Linked DNA regions of Drosophila melanogaster. The gene in region 1 interacts genetically with each later gene. Each region holds a gene or a part of one and is shown in the gene's direction. Other genes may lie near its edges.

Region 1 (5,580 bases):
AATATCTGCTCCTGCACCTGCGTCTGGGCGGAGAAGAAAAAGAGGTCCAGCAGGTGGACATTCTGCATAAGAACCACGCACAGCTGGTTCAGCAGGATCACCAGGCGCTTCTCGAGATCGGGCGGAAAGATCTCGCCCTGGCTGGATGCCAGTATCTTGAGCAGGGGTCGCAGGAAGGGCTCGTGGCAGAGCAGCTGGTGGCGCGAGTGGCTGACGAGCAGTTCGTACAGCTTCAGCTGCTCCAGCCTCACAGCGTTGGCATACCGTCCCGTGGTGCAGGCCCACTCGTACAGCTTGTCCAGCAGATTCTCGCTGAGCAGGAATTCCAGGCAGGGCGCCGCAGGCGGACCACTAGCCTCGGCCGCCGGCAGCGAGACTTTGTTGCAGTGATGCAGCTCCACGAGCAGCAGGGTGACCATGTAGTCCAAGTGCGAGACCACGCCCAGCACGTCGTCGTGCGAGGGCGGTGCACTGTGCTGGATGATCTCGAAGGCCTGCTGCCAGTGCTTACAGAAGCTGTCGTAGCAAGCGCGCGGATCGCAGTCTGTGGCAGCGTCGATGGGTCGCTGTCGCAGTGGGCCGACGTGTCCGACGGAGGCAACGCCTCCACCGCTGCTCTGGCGCAGCCACATCGTTGTCGGTGCGGTGTGTGTGCGATTCGGTGGCTTTTAGTGGCGCTGGTCCGCTGATAACTGCTCCGTGTGCGTTTCGTTTGGCATGAATTGGTGGTGCTGGTGCTCTGTTATCTCTCGTTTTGTGCTTTTGTCCGACTGTGTGAGTGGTGAGTATTTCAATGTTGCTCGCTTTTTAAATATTTAGAAGCTAAAAGAAGACGCACTTTAGTTGAATATTCGCTATTTACTTTTCTCTAATGTTCCCAAGAACAACAAGTGACACACTTACGCACACAGCCACACACACACCTGTGTACGTGTGCCCACCTATTTGGGCACTCACTGTGGTTGTTGTTGCTGCTGCTGCTCGCTCACCTGATGAATTTAGATTTGATCATCGTCATCGTCTCCGCTGCTTTCCGCTCTCCGTGCATCGTGCATCTACACCCATTACTGTTTAGTGGCCCTTCTTAGATGGGTTTTCACGCTTGCAGCATTTGCAGCGTTTTTTTTTTTGGCACTTTGGCAATTACAATTACAAATACAATTAAGTGGTAGTACCAACACTTCCGCAGATTTGCGGACTAGATTTGCGTTCTTGCAGCACGAAATTCGCGCTTTTGGCGCGGGTTTTGAAGTCAAGAAAGGGAAGGCAGTCCGGCCCGCACTTTATTGCCTCATTTTGCACTATTTTCGTAGTGTTTCCAAAGCAATTCTGCGTAAATATTTACAATTATATCTGCACGGAAATAGAAAGTTAGCGATGAGCAGCTATCAATATAACATATCGATGTTTCGATTATACCTGAGATACATCGGGAATTTTTGACATCGGGGTGTAGCAATTCCATTTTAGTTTTATTTTTATCTAATTATCTATTCACTTTTAAAACAGCGTGCTATGATCACAAGTATTAGTTTGATTAAATGCGTTCTGTTTCATTATCCCAGCGTTCCACTTACCAGTATTTCTTATCGCCTGTGTGACCAGACTTCCGCGCTTCTATCAGCTGTTCGCGCTACCGCCATTTGAATTTAATGAAATGGTAAATACAAAAATTTGATTTATTTAATTCCATTTCCCTAATCATTTATTCCTAAAGCGGCGCAGTCTGGCTCCCAGCCAACGTGGACCACTGCGTCCCGAGTCCCGTCACTCCTTCACGCCGCCACTGCTGAAGAAAAACAAGCGATCCTGCCAGCAGGAACTGGAGCGAGAGCAAGAACTGGACAGAAGACGACTGGGCGCCCTCCGAGATGCCAGCAACACATCAGAGCTCCCACTGCCTATTCGCTTCACGGCGAACAGCGAGTATGAGTTGGCCATTGCCAAGGTTCTGGCACGGAAGTTCAAGGTGCCCATGGACAATTACGTACCGGATTACGGTGGTAAACGGGTCCTGGGCGTGCGGCGCTGCATTTCCCGACGACCCCTACACGATCCGATGGCCTGCAACGCCTTGGTACTCTTCCATCCACCCGCCTACACAGAACACGAGCGCATGGGCATGGATCCGACCAAGGTTCTGGTGCACGTCGTCGTCGATCCGCTGCTGAGCAACATATTGCGGCCGCACCAGCGCGAGGGAGTGCGTTTCATGTACGAGTGTGTGGAGGGAAAGCGGGGCAACTTCAATGGATGCATCATGGCCGACGAAATGGGTCTCGGGAAGACGCTGCAGTGCGTAACGCTGGTCTGGACACTTCTAAGGCAGGGGCCCGAGTGCAAGCCGACGATCAACAAAGCCATTGTCGTGTCTCCATCATCGCTGGTTAAGAACTGGGAGAAGGAGTTTACCAAGTGGCTTCACGGTCGACTCCTTTGCCTGCCCATGGAGGGCGGGACCAAGGAGAACACCATCCGAGCACTCGAGCAGTTCTCCATGACTTCTGCCCGGCTGGGGACACCTGTTCTGCTCATCAGCTACGAGACATTTCGCATCTACGCGGAGATCCTGTGCAAGTACGAGGTGGGAATGGTGATATGCGACGAGGGACATCGCCTCAAGAACAGCGACAATCTGACGTATCAGGCTCTCATGGGACTGAAGACAAAGCGACGGGTCTTGCTTTCCGGCACTCCCATCCAGAACGATCTTACTGAGTACTACAGCCTGGTGAACTTTGTAAACCCGGAGATGCTGGGAACGGCGGCCGTGTTTAAGCGCAACTTCGAGAGCGCTATTCTGCGGGGCCAGAATACTGACTCCACGGAACAGGAGCGACAACGGGCCATAGAGAAGACACAGGAGCTGATAGGTCTGGTCGATCAGTGCATCATTCGTCGCACTAATCAAATTCTAACCAAATATCTGCCGGTTAAGTTTGAAATGGTTATCTGTGCGAAACTGACGGCGATTCAACTCGAGCTATACACGAATTTCTTGAAGTCTGATCAAGTTCGACGTAGTTTGGCGGGTAAGTCATTAGGCAATACTACCACAACATTCCTACCATTTACAATTCCCTTCAAGATTGCAATGAAAAGGCTTCGCTTACGGCGCTGGCAGACATTACAACGCTTAAGAAGATTTGCAGTCATCCGGATCTCATATATGAGAAGCTCACTGCGCGGGAAAAGGGATTCGAAAACTCCCAAAATGTGCTGCCTAGTAATTACAAACCAAAGTACGTCGCCTGTTGCGCGCGAATAGCAATGGCTATTAATGAATCTTTTGTGTTCCAGGGATCTCAATCCAGAGCTAAGTGGCAAGTTCATGCTCCTGGATTTCATGCTGGCAGCAATACGTGCAGAGGGCAACGACAAGGTGGTTCTCATTTCCAATTACACACAGACCCTGGACTTGTTCGAGCAGCTCGCGAGGAAGCGAAAGTACGGATTTGTCCGGCTTGATGGCACCATGTCCATCAAGAAGCGATCGAAGGTTGTTGACCGATTCAATGACCCGGAGTCTGACAGCTTCCTTTTCATGCTGAGCAGCAAGGCTGGCGGCTGCGGCTTGAATTTGATTGGAGCCAACCGCCTGTTCATGTTTGACCCAGACTGGAATCCGGCCAACGATGAGCAGGCAATGGCCAGAGTGTGGCGTGACGGGCAAAAGAAGCCCTGTTACATATATCGCCTCGTTGCCGTGAGTACCTGAATTGGTTCTGCACGGAACTTTCTTTTTCAACTCAAGAAATCTCTTTCAGAGTGGTTCCATCGAGGAGAAGATCCTGCAGCGACAGACGCACAAAAAATCCCTGTCGAGCACCATCATTGACAACAACGAGTCGGCCGAGAAGCATTTCACCCGCGACGATCTGAAGGACTTGTTTACATTTGATGCGAACATTCTGTCCGACACACACGACAAGTAAGAACTGGCTTTGGATACCCTTTAGATCATGATCGTGTAACATATCTTTTCAGGCTCAAGTGTAAGCGCTGCGTTCAAAATATACAAATGAAGCCACCGCCCGAGGACACGGACTGCACCTCGCATTTGTCACAATGGTACCATTGCTCCAACAACAGAGGCCTGCCTGACAATATTCTCGCCCAGGCCTGGATGGATTGCAAGTGCGTGTCCTTTGTCTTCCACCACCGATCGCAGGCTCAGGAAATTGTGCCGAGTGCTGAGGAGGAAGCAACAGATCAGCCAGAGGAAAAACCAGAAAGCCGCAAACGATCATCCACGCCCGCCAGTGATGACAGTGCCGATGAGGACTTCCGTGGATTCTAGCAATTGTTTGCAGTTTATTGTTTCTCGAATTTCCTTTTTCTTCGCACTTAAGTCTAAACTTAAGATAACTTTTTCTGGCTTCCTTTGCAATCCTAACAAGTTATTAATTTAACATTTCAAAAATGGAACCAGCACAAAATGTTAACGTGCTAGGGGTGAAGGCTTCTATAAACTAATCTGGCAATGTAGGAGTCAGTCCAGAAAATAGTTTACTTTTTTGTGAAATACTGATCAATTTCTATACTCTTAACTGGCCGCCAATCGGGCAAAGTAGTAGGTTAACATAGCTTAGGACAAATACAAGCAAACATCGAAATTCGGATTCTAGTGTGTATTCACTTGCTTAAGCGCAAAGTTATTTAAGTTGGTTACTTAAAATCAACAGCCATCTCCGCTAGCACGTTATTCTCTGCACATAAAAAGCAATTTGGCGTATAGCAACGTCCGGATTAAAACCCTGTCAGATACAGATTAATATTATGCGTGTGTATATGTATAAGTATTAAACCATTCGCAGTGTTAACACAGTCAATTGAACACTTGATGTATTCGGGTCTATACATCAATAATTTTATGCTCCAGCTCCACCCAGACGTTGCTCTTCTCCGGCGCCTTGAGGAGCGGCTGTTGCTGCAGCTCGGCCAAAAACCCACCGATGGCCTGATAGTACCTAAAAAGCAAGCACACCCATGGATAAATGGGAAAGTGAAGATTAATTGCCGGCCATACCCGTCCACTATCCAAGTGTCGTTGTGCGATCCGCCGGGGAATTCGAGCAGGCGCTTTATCTCGCTGCCGCATTTGGTATACAAGGCACGCATCATGCGCGGTGGCACTAAGTTGTCCGCAAGGCCCGAAATAAACAAAAAGGGAACCGAACACTTGCCTATCTTGCTCATGGAGTGATACTGCATGTGAAACAACAAACAATAATGTGGTAATGAGATAAAGTAAACAGAGGGCTCAACCGGCGACGACTACCCACCTTATTCTTAAATAATAGATTTGGTATATACTTCACAGCGGGATGCACCAGCTCCACGGCCATTTCCGGTATGCTGCTAAAAGTGTTCTCCACAATAGCGCACATTAGCTTCTGTCCATATACGGTATCGGCTGCAACGTCGACCACCACAGCTCCGCCCAGGGAGCGTCCGAAAAGTATCAGTTGCGAGTGGTCCAGGTCGTGGCGGGTGTGCAGGTAGTCAATGGCCGCTCTGGCGTCGGTGACCAGACCCCGCTCGGTGGGTACACCGGTGGATAGGCCATATCCGCGGTAT
Region 2 (5,192 bases), about 13 Mb from region 1:
GATGATGATGATGAGGCTATAGACACGGATCCCGTGGGTCTGGACACCCTCGATCACGCCCACTTCAAGTGTCCGGATTGCGACAAGGCATTTGATACGGCGGACAGCCTAAGTCTACATTTTCGCACGCATGCGGCGAATAATAATCTACTGAATTTGCCGTTGCCTCCTGCACCACCTATGTCGCATCACTACCATCACGATGCACTGCATCATCTCGGCCCACCGAATCCCGCCACACAAATGGGAATGGCTGCAATGGCTCACATGTTGGCACCGCCGCCGCCTCCACCGCCAACGCCAAGTGAAGGACGTTACACTATGCTGCACCACACGGCGGCACAAAGACTACATTATTAGAGTATAGCTACGAAGATTTATCTTAATCATAATTATTGTTTTAGATTATGTTTTGATATTGAACACTTTTATTTAGTTTGTCTATATAAAATGGAATATTTTGTCATGTTTGCTTTTATATCTTTACAATAAATACATGTAGAAATTTGGCAAGCACAGCTTCTATTAAGATTATTACTTAAATGCAAGAACTAAAATCACTAAAAACTCCCCGCGCGTACTTGTCGCATACTTGTCGTCGATATAAAAATGTCATTGTTGTATAAACTAAGCTTGATTTGTGTTTTCTGTAGGTAAAAATTGTAGTATCTCAATATTGGTTTGTTTGGTATTGGTATGCATCGTTGGTATCGGCTTAATCCAGTTTGAATATGTATATAAAAAGCTCAAAAATCAATCAGAGAACTATCATAAAATATTGCTTTTGACAACGGCCCGGATTGATTGATCCCAGAGATCGAAACCTCTCTACTTGAGCTTGGCTTTCAGCCACTCCTCGGTGAGTTCGTCTAGTTCGCGTATCTCGTAGACGCGTGTGAGATCTACTTCGCGCTGAAGAGCGCTCTTCGTGCAGGCGTACATCATCTGCAATTCGATCTGAAACAGAGAGTTATGAATTATAGAATATATTTGAGCATTGCTAAACTCCCACCTGGCTATCCCTGGGTGTGTAGAATATGAAGCACATTGGGTACGAAATGCGCTGATCGTCATGGACCATTTTATACGTATAGATGACATATCGGGGCTGGTGTCCTGGCAATGTATCCTGCAGCTCGTCCACCGAAATATCGTCGATGAACTCGTCCAGCACCACCGTTTGCTTCTCCCGGTCGACTTTCACTGCAAGGGACAATGGAGTGGTCATAAAAACTACACACATCTGTTACCATGACAATCAAGGCTTACATATCAAAGCCGCATTATTTTTGCTCTTGCTGAATCGAAACTTCTTCAATTCCTCCAGAACTTCGTTGCTTATGTCGCATATCTGGTTATCACTCTGTATGAAATCGATATAATTGATTAATGAATTGGAATCACCAAAGTTATCTGCTAACAACAATCGTCGATTGAAAAACAAAAACAAAAACACGCCCACACTCTATTAGTCATGTTTTCATTTTGGTAATTGATTTCCGACCCTATATACACTTCCTACCATAACTTTAGCTATGAAGTTAGGGATGCGATCTGTAAAGTGTGCTGCACTACCGAATTTTTGGCAGTTAATTGTAGGAATGCAATATCACTTGTCCTTAAGGAATCGTTTAAATACTGTCGTTTATTCTGAGTTTTGTTTTGTTGTTCCTGCAGTGAGACCGTTCACTGAACGCCAAATAATATTCTGTGCTGCATCAAAAATATGTGAAGTGTTGTTAAACGACGTTTCTGATAAATTAAAAAATAATAACAATATTTGCTAAAGGTTTTTTTTTCATTAAGCTTTTTTCTTTACGGCAACATTGGTATTATTTATGGAATTTATTAAAAATAATTGAAATGTATTTTTTAGATTGAAATAGGAACGCTCTTTTTTAAAAATGTTTTGTAGATATACTTAAAACTTATCATTATTTTATAGTAGGTAAAAATCGTTCGTATACGATATTTGGATCATGTTTGTCCTCTCTAGTGGCTGATGGACTGTCAAAAAAGTACCGTTACTTTAGGGTTGTTACAGAGAGCACTAACTTATAAATAGTTAATACTATAATCTATGTGCTTAATGTCGTAGTTACAATGAGCTTGAATTTATATGAGAGCAACATCCTTAATTCCTGCTGGAAAGCGGGAGGGCGCAAACCGAGGAAATCGGCATTTGGCCAACTTAATCGAAATGAGATCGCTGATGTGGATGTAGTCGCCTGCTGGTAATTAAATATTAAATATAATGAATTTTTTTAACATTTCATTATATTCAATTGTTTTCAACATTTATCTACATTTCAGCAAGCAAATCACCGAATTAATTGAGGAAAATGCATTAAGAAAACGCCAGAAACGATCCAATGTTTTGGCCGCAAGAAACCGGCAAAATGTTATTTTCAAGGACATTTCCCGCTTGGTTTTTGGAGTTGCGGATATTTTTAGATGCCAAGTGGATCTACTTTTGGGTAAGTATTAGTCCGAATATTACGTAACATTGATATATAATCACGAATTCTTACAGGGGACACGAAGGTATTACTTGACCAATGTACACGTACCAACTTGGATTACGTTCTCACCACAACAAAATCCGTAGTGGTCAACAAATCAGAGATTCGAATCCAACGCAAAGGAAAGCGGGTGATCACCAAGAAATCTAAAGTAACAGTATCAAAACGTCCCAGACTGCAGGAATCGGATCTATTGGATGAATTCTCACATGAATACTACGAGAAGATGCTATCCGAATGCCAGATGTGGCAAACGGAGTGCACACAACAGGTGGTGGAGGACCTGAACGAGGTTAGTCGTCAATATACTGTTGGACTGCTTCCTTATATGATTTCATTTTTCGCAAAAAGTCTATTGAACAACCCCGGAGTTGCACTCAGTCAAAGTCGTATCATTCCATTACAATCACCGAAGAGATTGAACTTCCCGAAGATCATAGCTTAATTATGCCATCAAATGGTTTTGGCGAAGCCGAGGGCGCGGACTTAACCATTTTTCAAGAGCTTTACCCCAAAGATGGCACACGGAACTCACGTAAGAATTCTCAATTCAATTGAAAATGTAATAAACTATTTTTTTGTATTATAGTAAAGCGACACTCAATAGCTCAGGATCCAACTGACATCTTACCGGATAAAATGCCCAGATTGGATGATTGCGATGTTTTCCAAGCTGACAATGCTATCATGACCCAAATCTTTCCGCATAACATTGAACCAGCTGAAGTAACTCAGATAGTTTGTGAACCGTCGTTGCCATCCGTTTTAAATTCTTTTGGAGAAATAACATTTAGCCACCCGAAAAATCGGAAAAGAAAGCTAATAGTAGACAAACGAATTGAATACACCCGGGAGCAGCTGGTGAAGCATAGACAGAAATATATGGAAGAATACCTTTCAAGGAATGTGATAGTGCCAAAATCCTCGGATTTACGGAAACCCCCTAAGGAACTTCTCTGTAAACTGTATAATAAGTAGGAGCCTTATACATTTTGCTATTTAAAACTTTTTAATTTTTTGATGTAGTGTAAGTTTTTTAGCTCTTCATAACCACTCCGGACCTAAGCTCAGTAATGAAGAAAAGGAATTCGAGGCAGAAAACACATTGAGAACCATATTTGGCTGCGAGTTTACCGAGAATCTTTCTAAAGAGATATTTGTGCGACCATCGCAGGCTACAAAATGTAGGGATAAAGCGGCACATATCTATCAGCCCGAACCGCTTGAAGTGGAAGACTGTGTGCAACCTCAACTTCAGCCACGTGATGATGTAAATCAGAATTATCATAATGAAATGAATGAGCACGGCATATACCGTGAGGATAATCATGATGGTGAGTTCAGCCAATGTTTACAACATGCTATCGTAAATAAAATATAATCTCATTGCAGATACCTACAGCGTAATGATGAGTCTCTTAAGCATTTGGCGTAATAATCCGAAAATCACGGGAATCGATGCCATTGATTTTATAAAAACGTTTGATAGTCGCATCAAGGCTTCGTTAGCCTTTCTCCATTTGTTGTGTGAGTTCGAAAAAGAACAAAATGTGTGTTGGAAATAACGTATAGCTTAAATTTCAGATCTTGTTCGAGACCATTTTATAGAGATATCAAAGCGAGCTAATTCGCTGGAAATGTACCAAATTACTCTTGGCAAAGAGTCCGCTAAGCTAATAGACAATCTTATGCTGAGTGAGACTCTGTGAATATTTTTAGATAATTTTTTTCAAGATTACCAAACAACTTTGTAGTTGACAATCTTCCACATTTTTGTTGTTGTTTTGTTTTCTGTTATTGCTATTGTGTTATAACATATAAGTTGAGCCAATCTCTAACCTAGATGGCTTTAATCTACTCTTTTTCCATACAATCTTATGGTACAATTGAGCAACGATGTCCTGGATAATTCGTTTCATTTCAAGAATTGAAAAATTCTATAGATGTTACTTGTTGCTGTCTATAAAAATAGTTTTTTTTTCATTATCATATTAGTTTCGTGTACCCATTAAAAGTTGTTTGTTATCTTTGTTACTATTACGTTATCGTAGCTATAATTCATTAACATTTGGAGTAATTCTCTAAACCGTAATTGTTGTCTTTGTTACAAAATCTCAATTTCTCTGACAACACCAAAAAATAAACAAGTTACAAAAACAAAGGAATACAGAGTGTTTGGCACAATTGCTTAAATTCCGATCTGCTGGGCCAGACCCGAATAGATGTGCAGCGTGCAGAATCCAATGACGGCCGCCACCAGCGCTTTAACAGCCACCGTTAGCCAAGGTCCAATGGTCAGAATGTGGAGCATGCCCTCCAGCCAGACGCCTTTGAAGACAGTCACCGCCAGAAGTAGACTAACCAGCGGCTTTAATGCCTTGTTCAAATCGTGACGGGTGAAGAGCCAGATCAGGGTGGCCGTAGTGATGTGCTGCACCAGAAGCACGTTCGATTCCAGACACTTGAGGATGTAGATCCAACTGAACTCGGTGCCTCGGGCACCCACCCACAGCATGATACCTCGGGAAAGAATCACTTCGGCGGTGGCCCCTGCGGAAGTATACGAAAATATTTAGTTTTTACTAAATTTTTGGAAGTTGTCATACATATATGGGTTGGGGTATTAAAGGTTGAGTAGGCATTGGCTCTTGTAACATTAATATATCTGAA

What was found.
Region 2: of okr (region 1) and c(2)M, changing one enhances a phenotype caused by changing the other (phenotypic enhancement), as found in Drosophila melanogaster (one study listed by BioGRID).

Annotation. Positions count from the first base shown.
Region 1 is NT_033779.5:2,988,787-2,994,366, reverse strand, and holds okr (okra), read left to right. Parts: upstream 1-1,607; 5' UTR 1,608-1,657; coding exon 1,658-1,660; intron 1,661-1,717; coding exon 1,718-3,032; intron 3,033-3,088; coding exon 3,089-3,242; intron 3,243-3,300; coding exon 3,301-3,706; intron 3,707-3,767; coding exon 3,768-3,931; intron 3,932-3,987; coding exon 3,988-4,300; 3' UTR 4,301-4,773; downstream 4,774-5,580. Other genes in the region: CG3558 (uncharacterized protein), read right to left, coding at 1-632; Bem46, read right to left, coding at 4,856-4,970, 5,030-5,208, 5,286-5,580.
Region 2 is NT_033779.5:16,301,249-16,306,440, forward strand, and holds c(2)M (crossover suppressor on 2 of manheim), read left to right. Parts: upstream 1-2,015; 5' UTR 2,016-2,103; coding exon 2,104-2,234; intron 2,235-2,313; coding exon 2,314-2,477; intron 2,478-2,533; coding exon 2,534-2,814; intron 2,815-2,873; coding exon 2,874-3,057; intron 3,058-3,111; coding exon 3,112-3,496; intron 3,497-3,548; coding exon 3,549-3,856; intron 3,857-3,914; coding exon 3,915-4,049; intron 4,050-4,106; coding exon 4,107-4,231; 3' UTR 4,232-4,692; downstream 4,693-5,192. Other genes in the region: CG17328 (uncharacterized protein), read left to right, coding at 1-360; GMF (glia maturation factor), read right to left, coding at 829-957, 1,013-1,203, 1,270-1,363, 1,523-1,525; CG5861 (uncharacterized protein), read right to left, coding at 4,711-5,072.